Linked DNA regions of Drosophila melanogaster. The protein of the gene in region 1 purifies or fractionates together with the protein of each later gene. This does not show direct contact. Each region holds a gene or a part of one and is shown on either strand. Other genes may lie near its edges.

Region 1 (3,511 bases):
ACAAACAGCAGCAAACACATCATCAAAATCAACAGCAGCAGCAAATCGAGACAAAATAAATCCGCTAACTCTGTCGCTCGCTTGTCCCACGCAAACGAAATGTATGAAATTGAAATCGAAGTTGATGGTCGGACCGGACGAAGGAGGAGGAAGATCTATTTGTCTGCGATTCTCAACTTCCCAGCGTGGTGAAGAAGCAAAAGCTGCCGTCTCAACTGCAATAGCTAAATATGCATTTTTCGTTGTTAATAGCAAGGAACAATTAATTTACTATGGTTCCGACACAAAATTGAACTTTGGAATGGGATTGATAATATTCGGCTTTAATTTTACCCTAACCCCTTGATTGTTTCTTTTTAATGAAATTTATACGAATTTGTTGAGAAAATACACAAAGTCATAAAAACAATATGTGCGAACTGAGCGAACGTGCAGACATTTCAATACCCGATCCGCTTGATCCTTCGTGAGCAGAGTGAATATTTAACTAATATTGGGATCTAATTATATTATAATTTATAATCAAATCATTATTTTTGTAATAATAAGATTTAATTATTATTAAAAACGAACGAAAAAACCCCCGTCCCTCGGCTAATCACTCTCGTCCAGCTCGGCCGTCATGGCCGCCACCTCGGCATCGTTGTCGTCCTCCGCTCCGCTATCCACGAATGAGGCATTGCCGCTCTGCTGCAACTCCTCGTGCTCCAGGTACTCCTGCAGCCGATCCTGGAAGAAGTTGATGAATGTCTGCTTCTGCTGCGCCGTGGCCGGGAAGTAGTGTCCGCCGCTGTGCTCCAGCACCTCGGCGTTCTTGAAGCGCGCAGCCAGGGACTCGCTCATCTCCTTGGGAATGATCTCATCCGTCTGTCCGTAGATGTGCAACGTGGGTATGCTGATGGCCTCTTCGTAGGCGCTCATGTGCACCAGACTGCCAGACAAGAAGCCCGAGGCTAGCACAGCAAACTCCGGACGGATGGAGGTCACTACGGGTGATGGTATAGTTATAACAAGGACTGTATTTTCAGACAAAATCATGGCATACACTTCTTTTTGGCCAGGCCGCATATAAGACCCACGAAACAGGCGCCCTGTGAGAAGCCTAGCAGTCCCTGGAAAGGGCCCTGCGTCCGCCACGCCTCCTCAACGCAGCGCAGGCTCTCCTGAAAGCCGAAGGCGGGACCACCTTTGTTTGTTCCCTTGAAGGAGCCATCGTCCTTGTTGGCCCACCAACTCCTCTGCTCCGGCACAGGCTCCGCCGCCGACTCCAGTGCCTTGGCCACGTGCGGCGCCGTGATGAACACGAACTCTGCGTACTTGTTGGCGAACTTGCGGAAGGAGCCCAGCTTGTTTTTGAAGGCTTCTCCATTCTGGCGGTAACCGTGCAGGCACAGGACTCGCACCTTCTCGGTGATTTCCAGCTTCAGCTGCTGTTTGCTGCTGCTGGCCCGACTGGAGCCGGCTGCCTCCACGGCCGCATCGTTGTTGGTCATCTTATTTTATGATTTTATAATTTTAACTAAGAAAAACAATACAAAATAAACAAGGTTATGGCTACGGTTAATGGAGATGGTCAGCTTTCGATAACAAAAGCTTGGGACTTGGTGGCAGCACTTGGCTGAAGTAACTCACCAGGTGGCAACGCTCGGCCTAGAATGCCGCATTTTTTACGTAAATCCTTTTTTCCGTAAATGCAACAAGTTCCCCGTGATTTTTAAATAGCTTACAACGCAAGGAAGCAGGTTCGCCATTGAGATCATGATCTACACCACAACACTGATGTCCTCGCGCGGCGGCCTCATCGGCTCGCTGATCAACAAAGTCAGGCAAGTTGTAGCCAAAGATTGGCCACCCAGTGATCCATCTCGTGCCAATGACACCGACCACCGACCCCTCACACCCCCTAGGCCCCTAGCAGCCGCCAGCATCAGCAACACTCCGGCGGTGCCGTCGAAGACCCTGGAGGAGCAGTTGGGCCTGCCGCCGCGACCAAAGAAACCGCTGACTCCCTACTTTCGCTTCATGCGGGAGCAGCGGCCCAAGCTGAAGGCTGCCAATCCCCAGATTACCACCGTCGAGGTGGTGCGCCAGCTGTCTAAGAACTGGTCCGATGCCGATGCGCAGCTGAAGGAGCGCCTGCAGGCCGAGTTCAAGCGGGACCAACAAATCTACGTGGAGGAGCGAACAAAGTACGATGCCACACTCACGGAGGAGCAGCGGGCCGAGATCAAGCAGCTCAAGCAGGACCTCGTTGACGCCAAGGAGCGCCGCCAGCTGCGCAAGCGGGTCAAGGAGCTGGGGCGACCCAAAAAGCCCGCTTCGGCCTTCCTGCGATTCATCGCCAGCGAACGTATCAACACTCCGCAGGGCGACAAGCAAACCTACCGCGAGTGGCACCAAAAGACCACCGCCAAGTGGACTCGCCTTTCCGACTCCGAGAAGGAGGTCTACATGCAGGAGTCGCGCAAGGAGATGGAGCTCTACAGGTGCGTGTTCATCTCAGCATTCAAGTTGGCGAATTTTACTAATCGTTAGCAGATTTTCTAGTTTGAATCATAGTTTCATTGCATTCCACTGACTAGGTTACAGTAAAATTATATTGATTATTATTTAAACTTTGATTTAAAAATTTTTAAATTTAGCAACAACAACTAGGTGCAGATTTTTGTAAAAACTTTAGATACAATTTATTATATTCTGCCAAATTCATGATAAATCGCCCTCTACTTCAAGTTTGAACCATTAACTTCTCTAAGATCTTTTATAAACTTTTTAAAGTCCAACTTGCCTACAGTAGAAATCTTTATGTGCTTGTGTTAATGCTTATTATTAACGCTTCTATATTAATCAATATTTTGGCATGGAACTCGTTTCTTAGTGCTAAATATTAGGACCACGTGGCTTTACGTTTCTTTTTTTTCTCGTGGGCGCGTTATTTACTCAATACAAATAATGTCTTGAACCAGTGAACACAGTTTCTAAAAAACACAACCTTTTTTGTGCGTTTTAGGAAAGCGATTTCCGTTTGGGAGGAGAAGATGATCCGCCTGGGCCACATCGACGTGGTGCGTCACGGAAATCTTATCGATCCACCTGAGCCAAAGCCCCGCAAGACGCTGGCCTCCAAAGATATATAGTTGTAGCTGCTCGGCCCGCCCTCTTCCATCACATAATTCACAAATCATGCATCATTCTGTTTTTCGTTTTTCTTTTTCGATCGCCAATTGTTAAGGTTAGGGCATTAAAGATTAAATGCTAGCCAGCCAGCATAAGTTTAACTTAAACCCCGTGTTCCTGCTGTTAGTTTTACGAAGGGTACTTCTAGTAGTTTTTCTGGACAACTTAAGTCTGTAGTTTCAGCATGAAATAAAAATACAGCAACCGACTAAATATTGTACATATATGAAAATACATTTTTAAACTGACTAGAGAGCGAGTGCATGTAACCATCGTGGCCAAGTTATAAGTTGAATAGATCTAGCCCTTGTAAGATCGCTTCGGCCAACACGTT
Region 2 (4,350 bases), 4.3 Mb from region 1:
CGTGTATCACTTCGCATCAGTGCCGATCTTTCGGTGGTTAGTAGCAGCTCCTCCTGCAGTTTGGGCCACTCGATGAACATGAAGTCGCCAACGCTCTGGACATGGTTCTCCAGCAACAGCTTCTCCAGAGCAGCTGGCGTGTGTGCTTCCTGGGTCATTGGCGTAGGAGATAGCTGCTTGAATTCCACAGACCATATTTCTAATGGGAAATGCATGCCGTTTAGAAATATGAATGGATAATGAATTTGCACCTACCATTGTCGCTGAAGGCGTTCTGCAGTTCGGCGATGAGCAACTGGCCACGACTGGTCTGTTGTGTGTAGATGGCCACCTGCACAGCCGTTTTGATCGGAATTTTACTCAGACTCAAAATTTCCGTCGAGGGCAAATTGACTCTGCGATTGCAACATTTAGGTATAATTGGAAAAACGCCGCCAGACATGGTTGACTCACCTGTAGACTGTGGTGGTGCGCCACCACATGGGCACGCCAATTCCAATGATGACCACGATAAATGCTAGTGTAGCCCCGATCCGGAACTTATCTGTAAAGTTAAAGAGAAGTGTTTGATTAGTTCCTGATTTATCGCGGTCGTAAGCGTTCTTTGGGTTCACACTTTATTACTTCGACAAAAAACTATAATATTTTGATTTGTGTTTTATAAAGTTTATTATGTAAATTAGTTTCTGTACAGGAGAACGGTATGAATGTTAATAGTCCTTGACGAGTAATTGTGCGCATGTTGTGAAACAGGATCACATGCTACTCCTTGTAGCTGCACGAAATAACAAAAACAGGTCCCTTTTCAAGGGGCGTGTTGCGCGACACGTATTTGGTGAACTTGGTGGTGCCCTCGCACCGGTATACTATGTTCAGGGCGTTGTCCACCGGCGTGATAGTAAGCAGAACGGAATCGTCCTCTTCCTCGTCATCGTAGTCCGATCGCCTTCCGTCCGTCGGTGCTTTTGCTGTTGGCATTTCGGCGTCGGGTGCGAGGTATGTGATCACCGCTGCTCCTTCTGCCGCGTTCAGGTAGTAAACCAGGTCCAAAGTGTTCTCCTCGCTGGTCAAACCGTCGCCCAGCACTGTGTAGTTGCCGTGGGACCAGCGCTGCAGTTCCACGCTGCATGTTGGACTTTCGGCATCGGTGCCTGCCAAATCCAGATCGGTGAAATCTCGCAGCAAATCAAACATGGCGTGGCTACGGAACAGTTGCAGTAGTTCCAGTATGGTGCCTCTGGCTGTTGTCAAATCCAGCACTTCATAGTTGTGTGCGTTTGCGGGTCCCTGTCTTCGCCACTTCAAGGTATCCGAATCGGCCAACAGCTGCGACCGGGCCAATTCGAATTTCTCTCGCTTGAAGAACTCGTATAAACAAATCTCGGAGTTTTCTTCGATCCGCTTTTGGATGCTCCGGCGGGTGGCCCCCTTTAGATACACGTTGTTTAGAAACAGGCCAAGCGGTGGCCTATTAAGGCCATCAGGTTGCAGGTAATTCAGGCGGGGAAAGGCGCGCAGGGAGTCGGCCACGAAGGCCTCATTGGTATCGCCGTGGAACCATCCGTTTATGGTAAGACGCGGGTAGTCGAATGTAGTAACCTCGCCTACTTGGTGGAAGGAGCGCGAGCCCACCTTGAAGAAGGCAAACTGGTTGTCTTTGGGGGCGATCTTTCGCTGCACTGGAAACTGTGGAAAGCACTGATCGTCGCTACCGAAGATCTCTAGGCATCCGCCCTGCTCATCCGTCCATTCCTCCGCTCCTTCCCAAGGCGATAGATAGTAAATGAAGGCCACTTGTCGGTCCTTAAGCAGATCGTCGTGCACGAGCAGATAGTCGCCGCAGGTGTACATGCTGCAGGAGGCGGACACATAGTCCAGCTTGAGGTTGGTAACCTTCTCCAGCCAGGGACGCACTTGTTTGCGCAGCACCTGCAGGAAGTTGGTCAACAGTCGGCAAGCGGGCATGTTGGAGAGGTCGGCGCTCTGGTAGAACTCATACAAATCCATCTGTTTGCGCGACCACTGCACCTTCTGGATGATCTCGGCGACCAGCGCCTGGCTTTGGCCCTTCTCCAGCATGCCGGGCAGAAGGCAGATTTGAAAGGGATCCGAGAAGACCTGAGCACCGGTTTGCGTCTCCTTGGTCCCTTGGCTCTTCTCCTCCGTCCAGGCTGTTTGGAGCCACTTGGTAAGTTCCGGTTGCTGATACGCCTCGTTCAGGAGCACTTCGTTCGTTTCAAGGATGTCGCCCAGGCGCAAAAGCTTCCTGTGCGGCTCGCCCACCTGATCTGCGGAATCCTCCTGCTCTGCACGACCATCTGCAAGGGCAACATAGTGAATGGGTTTGCATTAAGCGAGGCAAACAGGGGCATACCTTAAACTTTAATTTGGCTATTTTTTACGCACACCAGCACTCACACACGCGTTATCAAAGGCAAAGGCAAAATCAAAGGCACCGATGTGCCGGCACACCTCGCTTTATCGTTTTGGGGCAGATTTCTCACTGTTTCCACTTACCTTCGTCCTTGTCTTTTCTCCTGGGCTTTACTGGACTGGAGCTCGAGGTTTCCATGATGCTGTGAGTCAAATTTTCGGTTAAAAACGTGAATTTTTGCCAGGGAAAATAAAAAAATTGGCTTGTGCAGCTAGAGATGGTAGCTCGGAAATATCGGTTGTTCTGTGCAAGTGTTGGGTAGTTAGCTTATTCCACGCAGTATCAAATACCTAGCTAAAGTTTAGTAGCTAAAAACTTTTGGCATTATATTGTAAACAATAAAGGGCGTATATAAGTAATAATATATAATATAATAATATATTGAAGGCATTCAGCATTAGCATTCAACTCACTAATCACACTTTCATTTTATACTGATCATCACTGATTGTACGTGAGTGTCGTGTGTTTCGTCGTCGCCTCACGCCTCCATCCCTAGCCAATTAGTAACGAACAATTGCTCGATCGGCTCCACGTAAATAAAGTTTAGATCACAGCTTTGTTGATTGCTTATCGCGGTGGCAAATATAGTTATTCGTTTATGGCTGTAAACTTTCGAAACGGACGTGGACATAGCCGGTAAATTAAAACTTGAAGATAAAACCTAGCTGGTGACAAAGAAATTCCAATTGGAGCAGTCCAATGCCGTGGAATGACCTTGGAAGAGGCGGAGCCACCATTCAGCCCTCCATATTATAAACAAAAATACTATTGTGGAATGTTCACAGCTATTTTGTATAAAAAAAATATTTGGCTATCAGTCTGTGCGTGCTAGGGCCAAACAGCTGATTCCGCCTGGCTGCCACCTGATTTGTTGGGGGTGTGAGTGGGGCTGGGGCTGTGGTATTCTGTATGCTCGCGATGATCTCATTGTGTTGGAATCGGAGCAAAAGCTAAACTAAACAACTTGACATGTGTTCTTCTGCTCCTGTGTAGCTACCTAGTGTTGGAGGATACGGAGGAGCAATGGGCAAGGATCAGCATTTGCTGGAGGCTTCGCGAGCCGGCGACATCAAGACGGTGGACAAACTGCTGGAGCACTCGAGCAAACGACATGGCCCGCTGTCCAGGTGAGTCACCAGCAGCAACTGTTGTTATTCCAGGTAGTTTACTACAGGTTTTCCTTTACAGTTTTAGGCGAAGTCCCAGCATCAACTGCCAGGACATGAATGGCTACACTTCGCTGCATCACGCCTGTCTAAATGGGCATAGCAACATTGTACGGCTACTACTCTCCCACAACGCGCTGTTGGATGTGCCTGATATACGTGGCTCGACACCTTTATTTCTGGCTGCCTGGGCTGGGCACCAGGACATCGTCAAGATGCTGTTGATGCACTCGCCTACGGGAGCCAATCCGAATGCCCAGACTATCGAAAACGAGACGCCGCTGCACTCAGGCGCCCAACATGGCCACAATGCCGTGGTGGCCATTTTGCTGTCCTATGGCGCCGATCCTGCCATACGCAACAATAGCTTTCAAACGGCTCTGGATTTGGCAGCGCAATTCGGACGCCTTCAGGTGGTTCAGACCTTGCTCCGTGTTTATCCCGACCTCATATTGCCGTATAAGCGTTTGGAAGATGACAATGAAGAGCTGCTGGGCTGCATGCCCATAAAGCACATATTCACGCACACCTGCCTGCACCTGGCCAGCAGGAATGGGCACAAGAAGGTGGTGGAAACACTGCTGGCGGCCGGCGTCGATGTCAACATACTCACCAACGCTGGAAGCGCTCTCCACGAGGCGGCTCTCTGTGGCAAAAAGTCCGTTGTGGTCACTCTGCTTAAGGCCGGTATCTACGTACACGCCACCGATGGAAACGGACGCACAGCCCTGGACATACTCTCCGATT

Evidence for each region.
Region 2: the proteins of CG5412 (region 1) and sud1 purify together in Drosophila melanogaster (affinity purification with mass spectrometry, with the first as the bait; one large-scale study listed by BioGRID). This does not show direct contact.

Annotation. Positions count from the first base shown.
Region 1 is NT_033777.3:20,575,121-20,578,631, reverse strand, and holds CG5412 (uncharacterized protein), read right to left. Parts: upstream 1,580-3,511; 5' UTR 1,494-1,579; coding exon 1,046-1,493; intron 987-1,045; coding exon 595-986; 3' UTR 501-594; downstream 1-500. Other genes in the region: TFAM (mitochondrial transcription factor A), read left to right, coding at 1,759-2,486, 3,011-3,137.
Region 2 is NT_033777.3:24,915,192-24,919,541, forward strand, and holds sud1 (sudestada1), read right to left. Parts: upstream 2,674-4,350; 5' UTR 2,573-2,673; coding exon 2,518-2,572; intron 2,319-2,517; coding exon 763-2,318; 3' UTR 649-762; downstream 1-648. Other genes in the region: PIG-S (phosphatidylinositol glycan anchor biosynthesis class S), read right to left, coding at 2-199, 256-395, 454-544, 2,518-2,572; CG11168 (uncharacterized protein), read left to right, coding at 3,461-3,564, 3,626-4,350. UniProt on the Drosophila melanogaster protein: Prolyl 3-hydroxylase that catalyzes 3-hydroxylation of 'Pro-62' of small ribosomal subunit uS12 (RpS23), thereby regulating protein translation termination efficiency.